2 linked regions of the Lepisosteus oculatus genome follow. The protein of the gene in region 2 interacts with the protein of the main gene of each other region in a pairwise test. Links are inferred from orthologs where the notes say so. Each region holds a gene or a part of one and is shown on either strand. Other genes may lie near its edges.

Region 1 (3,754 bases), on a different chromosome or scaffold from region 2:
TTGTCTAACATAAAATCTGGCCCTAAGTATCTCATGTGACAAGAATACCAAAAAGTTGTCTTGTTAACTCCTCCAGTCTGAACCGCTGAAGCTCTCAATCAACTCAATCCACACTACTCTTTATGATATATCTTCGAAGATATAAAACTAAAGAGCTGCCTTTTTTAACTGACGCTTTGCAGCTTTGTATGATATAGCTCTGGTGAAAGAAAGGCATTTATCCAAAACAGGCAGAATCTAAGAGTATACATTTACTGATTTCAACATTTCATTATACATTACAAACAGGTTATGCATTCATGAATAGATCAGGATGTCTTTGTTTCAACATGAACAGCAAAGGCCACAAAAAACCTGTCCCATTTCTCTACCCAGTGATCTCTGACCTCCCCCAATACCACACCTTCTGCCTATCGGAAGGCTGTGAGGAGGAGTCCAAGAGGAGAGAGAACATCTGCTGTACGCGAGCATCTGTGGAGGAGAGCTGTAGAGCCTGTGAGCAAGACAGGAGCAAAGAGATACCAGCTTCAGTCTTAATACCCCTTCAACAGCATTTACATTTGGGAATACAATGTGAATTAAAGGGTTTATTTGAGTAGTAATAATAAGAATTGCTTACACTTATATAGTGCTTTTCTGGACACTCCACTCAAAGTGCTTTACAGATAATGGGGATCCCCTCCACCACCACCACCAGTGTGCAGCCCCACCTGGTGGATGACTGCTATAAGTTTTTTGACTAGTTAATTCTCTAGCTATTAGTCAGCCCCGTTTTTTTGTCAATTTAATTCATAAAGTGTAAACATTTTGTATGCACCATAATGGCTGATAAACCCCCATGCACGATACCTTCTGCTGGATCTGAGCTCCTAACTGCCGCAGTGACTCCTGGAAGGCCTTGTTCTTGGGCTCCATCTGTGCGCACCTCTGGACATCCAAGAAGGCCTGGTCCAAACGCCCCAGCTTCTGCAGCGCCTGTGAGCGGCGGAACCGGGCTTTCACATCCCCGGGGTCGGCGTCCAGCGCTGGCCAGAGGGAAAAGACCAAGCAGGCAGCAAGTGAAGAACAGAGCTTACCCGTCAGTACAGACTAATTTGCTCTCGCAGACTCTAGGCTGGCTCAGAAATGATTGCTTTTCAGGCCTGGTCACATCAGAAGCGCCGTGTGAAAGGCTTAGTCTTCATTTTAGAAGTTGTACCTTTTGTAGCATCGGCCTCTGCCTTGGAATAGTCCTCCAGCTTGAGGTAGCAGGCTGCCCGGTTGCGGTGCAGGACAGCACTCTCTGCCTGGCTGTCACTTAGTCTAAGGGCCCTGGTGTAGCAGGACAGGGCTCCCTGGTAATCTCCATTCTTGAACAGGCTGTTCCCATCCTCCCGCAGGGCAGCAGGGTCCTGGGACACACAAAGCAGACAGCACTGCTAAAGGACACCTACAGCACAAGACTAGACAGGGCTGGGCTTCATCAACGACCTATAGATCCTTAACCCCACCATGCTGGGGTTGGCACTACAGCAGAGCTACTCCAAGCAGGATGAATGAAAGGAACGCTGCTCGTTCTCCTCCTGGAATTGGGAGATACAGCACATGCAATCAACCGAACCGTCTTTGGGAAGAGGGAGAAAATCAGGACAATCAAAGAAAACCTGTGTGATTATTTGGAGCCCATACAAACTCCCCTGTGCCACTCATTGGCCTCTACTGTTACTTCTTTAAGAATATATTAAAAAGCCATTAACCACCCCTTAAAAACAGAGGAAGAGATCACATTTCCTTCAAATGCTATAAGGACAAACTAGGAGCAAAATCTCATTTGAAATGACATCCAGAAGAGTACTCATTTGTGCAGCTGGGCAAGTTAGCAGTACACTTCGAGATACATACGTTGCTCAACGGCTCAACAGCAGTATAACTGGGATTTGGAGCTGTAACTGGCCGCTCTGGAATCCAGAGCGCAATTTCTGTTAAGGGATTATATTTGACACCAATACCAAACTACCGAATCAAGTAATGGCAATGGCCATTAGTTATTAAAGCCATTAAATATGATAATCAAAATAAAAGCTATAGATGTTGGCTCAGGCAAATTAACAGATTGATTTGGTTAGAGTCACGGCGTCACTTGAATACGTGCGAAGTCTGTAACAAGTGAACCCAGATTAGGCGTTCTACACAGCTGAGGTATTTTACACGACTGCTTCTGCACAATGTTTCCATGGTGGGTGTTTACCTAACGGAACAGCGGAGTCTACTGATTTTTGTGTAAACCGGTAAAAACCAAACCTACAGTTACGGCAAACATAATGAATGATTTACGAAGCTAGCAGGCGAGATAAGGTTGTACCTTGTCTTTGCCGTTTACACTCATTCTCTATGATCGCACAGTTTATTGCCAAGATATCTCGCTGCCTTCGCCGAGTTTCGGACAGCTCCACGCGGCGTCTCCAAAGTTCTACTACTCTATAACCGATTTTATTTCCTCATTTCATAGCGAGCTCTACAGTTTATGTGCTATATAACCAGCGAGCACAAGACAGCTATAACCTCTCTTCCTTCCTGTTCTCTGGGAGCGGCGTGATGACGTTTCTAACGAAACCCCGCCTACTTGCACGTTCCATCGCCATAGAAGGCAGCGAGAAAGAGATGCTGTCGGACAGTGGGTTTATCTGAACCATTTTGTTCTACTAGTCTGGTTCCAGTACATTCTTTTCATGAAAAAAAAAGCTTACTGAATTACCTTTCTGGAAGTTGCACTCTAGAGAGCCAACATTTGCAAAACTGTATTATGCATGGGATATTTCAGATTTTATGCAGTGTCATGCAAATTGTGTTGAAGCAGTAAATAAATATCTATATTTAATTATATTTAAAGTTCACTTACAGTATCTTTCTTTGTAAAATTCCTCAGTGTGTTAAGAATCCGGTTTGTCTGAGAGTTTACACCTTGTTAAACCATTTTAAGTCCTTTAAATCCTAAATTGGATCAAGCCCCTTTTGTCACGAAAACGTTTGGGACAGATGATGAAAGCTCGATTATAATCTCGATTAATAAACTCTTCGAACCTTTTCAGTCAGACATTTGGCTGAGATGTAGCCCAGAAACAGCCCTTGTTAAAATATGTAACGAATTTGGGTGTCTTTTAATCCTAGATGAAAGTGAAGCTTTTGATACAGCACTCTTCCGCATCACAGTAACATTCATCTTTTTCCCACTCTTCCTTGGTTTGGCTCATATTTGGAGCCAATTAGTGAAGATGTTTTAAATCTGATGTTGTCCCACTGATGTTGTCCCACTGATGTCTGATGTTGTCCCACTACTCAATATTCAGAACTGGGAACTTCACTAATGGAGTTTGTAACGAAATGTTAGGAGAGATGAAGACAGCCAAGTTCAATCAGCCTCAGCTACCAGTAATTCATAATCAATCCTGATGTCATTTCATCACCCAAGCATGATATTATCATATTACTATAATATAGGTGAGCTCCTCCCCCCCCCAAGTTCTGCAGGGGGCACGACCTCCTCGTCCTGTGGCCAGGAGCCTGGCCCTCTGCCAAGCGGGTTGAGCCAAATCTATTCTGGCTAAAAGAGTTAAACATTACAATACACTTAATTCTCGGCTGTTGTTATTCCTCAGGAATTTTAGCGTTGTTGATTGAAGTGCACATAAGGAGTGTCGCAAAGCTTATCTTTCTTCCACTTGCATAAAATTGCTCAGTTCAGACCCATGCTCTGCTGGTGTGGTGCTGATGCCTC
Region 2 (3,754 bases):
TGCAGCATCCACCTGGATGATGCGACGGCAGCCATAGTGCGCCAGAACGCTCACCACACATCAGCTATCAGTGGGGAGGAGAGCAGAGTAATGTAGCCAATTCATAGAGGGGGATTATTAGGAGGCCATGATGGGGTAAAGGCCAGCATAATTGATCTCATGCCCTTCTTTATATATTGTCATTTCCTTTCACTTTATTATGGAGTGCATCTGATGCCATTTTATGTCCAGTGTATTCTCTGGTGCCAAGAGATTTCAATACTCCTCTTACCCTTTGTTTTATTCTGTCACTTTTTCAAGATAGAAATTTCTGTATTTAATTCCAACAAGTCATGTTCCCACCTACAATGAAAATCTAACTTATATGTAATTTTAGAAATTATAATTTTAAATAATATAATTTATTTCACAGGCATATTTAGATGCCCATCTACAATCATGTGAATTATAACCCACAAAAAAATATATATATATATTTGGGACTTCCCCAAATATGACTTACACATAGTATCAGGTAAGCTGTCTTGAATGGATGACAGCAATAGCACTATAATTATCAACAAAAAGTATTATGCAACACGTTACTAATGGACGACCGCCATCACCCACAGCATTTTGACAAGCAAGCTAGAACTTGGCTTGCAAATGGCCATCCACGTGTCTCTATCATGGCCCCTCGATTTCATTTTTTTGAGTAAACTACACATCCCACTCGCCTTCTGCAAAGGTAAGTCCATGTTTTACGTCCCTTGGAAGCGCCCATTTGCGGGGAGTATGGGTCATGTAGTCCAGTAAGTAATGTTTGTGTATTACGGAAAGAGGCTTTGTTATTCGAAAAACACATTTCCCAGCATTCCAAGCGCTGTCGCACATGCGTGTCACGGTGTGTAAATGTCCGTGTGTAGGCGAGTCACGTGTGGAGAGTCCGTTGATCTCGTTTCGTCCCTGCAGTGAGATTCGCTTGTTTGTTCGTTTCGGTTTGTACTTGATTTTATTTTTTTTAGCTTTTTCTTAATTAGATCAAATATTTTATCGAAGAATGAGCGACAACGATGACATCGAGGTCGATAGTGACGTAAGTGGAAGATAGATATTTCGAAGAATATTAAATATTTAGAATTAAAACGCCTTGTGTTTTTCTGAATTTTGAGCTGCTGTCGGACTGCTGGTTGGTAGAGTTCTAGGAAGAGACTAGCAGTACTGAATGAGACGTTCCGCGGTTTCGGCTTTAAAGCATATCGAAAAAGGAGTCTATTTTTACATACAAGCAACATATGTAGGAGTTAAAGCTATCACTTAACTCACAATTATACAATTGTACTTTTCTGTTTTGTTTTTTTTACAGGAAGAATCACCGAGATTTCACTCTGTGGTGCGTAATATACGGAACGTTTTATCACGCTTAGACTTTTTAAAATGAAAATTGCTACTGCATTGACATTTCAGTATAATTTCCGGGTGGGTAAGAGGAAAAGAGGAGTTGGCTGTAGAGACAGCGATCCTGAATTGCAGGGGACACCTACATCGGTGACGGAAGAGCAGCCTGATTAGAGAACCATCCTTGTTGTACAGCTACTCCTACTAGGCCACCGCACAAGCCTATGAAAAAATAAAACGTAGAAGAGTTTGAATCAACGACGTAGAAATAAAAACTCACGTTGTTTTGCTTAACGCCCGTTTTGCTTAACTCCAATTTACAGTGAAATATTTTTCTACGCATCAAAGGGTAATCCCCAACCCACAAGACACAGCGCGTACCATTTTTAGCCTAGACGAAAATTGCCTGTTTCTTCACCGTTTTTGGCTCAAGATCGCTTTAAACATCAGAAGGAAAAAGGTCAGATACACAGATTGAACTGGATCTGCCTGTGCTTCGATGAGTAGGAACCGACCATAACATTTCGTTTCGTGAAGATCAGATTAGGCTGTTTTCAAAACCCGAAAAGCACATCAGGCTACTGTTCAGCAGCTACGTTTCCTGCTTTAATGGAATAGTTAAGCTGCACATACCGAAGAGATCGACAACGTATAATTAAATATTTTCTTAGGGAATACCTTTTTTTCTGCTTGAATTTAAATACTCGGTTTAGCAATCCATTATCTCGGTGCACCGGTAGATACTGCTTTAAATAGTGCTTAATTGGAATGCAGGTTACGATCTTTGGAGGGGATTAATAGAGGATATTTAACCTTCAGCAAAAAAAATATTAAAGATGATAGGCATAAAAAAACGAAGTGGCCAGCAGAAATACAAGGTGTTCAGGGCAAGTTAAAGGTGCTTCAGTTGCGTTGGTGTTCAACACCGTTTCACATTGACGGCGCAATAAACGATCGGTTGCTGTTGTATTATTTGACGTGTCTGTGCAGTCACTTTGATGTTTAAATCGGTGTACTACGATTTGTCTTTAAAAGACCGGGGATTACATTGCAGTCTGTTCGTGCCATTTTGTGTACCTACAGTTTACATTTGCACGTTCCCTCTTCCATTCTGTCAGTGCATTTTATTTACAAGTGTTTTTTAAATGGCATAAAACGCATGCGTAATACACTTAATAGGAAAAGAGAGGATATGGTTAGCACTAACTCTGTAAATTCAAGAACACAATTACACACTGAAAACGATAGTAAAAATACACATAACAAGTTGCTCTTCCGGTCTCTGCTTATGTTTTTTGTGAAACGATAAAAAAATCTTAAATTCAGAATTAGTGTTATTATACATTTTAAAATACTATATAAAGCCTGCTTTGCTTATTATGCCTTAGATTGTGTCACATTCTAAGGTATATTTTAGAATAGAATAAGGCTACAATTTGATTTTCTAAATGACATTAAAAAAACTTATTATTCCATTGTTGTGATGTAGTCTGCTTTACCATTTCTCTCAAGGAAATGTGATTTGGTATTTGTTCACCTATAAACCAAATAGTTTAAAACTTATGCACAGAGTGCTCATTTAGGGATTCACTCTCAAGTTGATTGAGGGTCAGCATGTGAAAATAAAAGCATTGGAGAGTCCTCATTCACGTACCCCTTGAGTTGTCCTGTTAAATAGACATTCTTCTGATTCTGATTCTTTTATTAAGAGGTTTTTAAAGGAAATCTGAATTACTATTGGGTTCAACAAAGAAATTAATTAAATGCAAGCAGTAAGTGCAATTATATAGATTCATGAAAGCACTGTAGTTCTGTAATAGGTACTTAAGTTGTTAAAGGATGATTGTATTTGGTAGTATAGTAACTAAATGTGGAAGGTAGCTGCTCAAAAAAGGCAGATTAGGAGAAAAGGGCCAAAAATGAATGAGTTAAACTAAGAAATGTGACAGAAAAGTTGTGGAATTGAGGCACCTAACCTAATATGGAACTTCAGGAACTAGAATGGTAGAATATAGTAAAAAAAAAATTGTTTTACTCTAGCCGATGGAATTGTTAGGAGACAGCTTTGTCTAGCAACCAGACCCAAGTTCAGAACAGTTACCTGACTCGTAAGGATACAGAAGTTCATAACGTGATTTTGTTTAAGTATATTTTGAAGACCTTGATATTAAGCATTAAATATGAACATAACGATGGAATAAAGTTAGTATGCCCTTCAAACGCCCCTTCTCAAGATATATTTGTCCATGTGAATCAGGATTTATCAATTCAGTAGATTCAGGTTAAAGAGTAATCGTGGAATATAATTGCTACAGGTGCTGCAGTCATAAAGGAAAGTGGTCACACTGACAAAAGTAGAAATGTTAAAACCATTATA

Evidence for each region. The genes of interacting proteins can lie anywhere in the genome.
Region 1: the proteins of max (region 2) and unc45a interact in binary tests that used the Homo sapiens proteins (3 or more experiments, as listed by UniProt). The two-hybrid records come from large-scale screens. The link is inferred for Lepisosteus oculatus from reciprocal best matches to the Homo sapiens genes MAX and UNC45A.

The regions. Positions count from the first base shown.
Region 1 is NC_090700.1:60,915,903-60,919,656, reverse strand, and holds the start of unc45a (protein unc-45 homolog A), read right to left. Parts: upstream 2,558-3,754; 5' UTR 2,366-2,557; coding exon 2,342-2,365; intron 1,392-2,341; coding exon 1,199-1,391; intron 1,026-1,198; coding exon 850-1,025; intron 494-849; coding exon 404-493; intron 1-403.
Region 2 is NC_090703.1:15,579,158-15,582,911, reverse strand, and holds the start of max (protein max), read left to right. Parts: upstream 1-909; 5' UTR 910-1,039; coding exon 1,040-1,075; intron 1,076-1,345; coding exon 1,346-1,372; intron 1,373-3,754. UniProt on the Homo sapiens protein: Transcription regulator. Forms a sequence-specific DNA-binding protein complex with MYC or MAD which recognizes the core sequence 5'-CAC[GA]TG-3'. The MYC:MAX complex is a transcriptional activator, whereas the MAD:MAX complex is a repressor.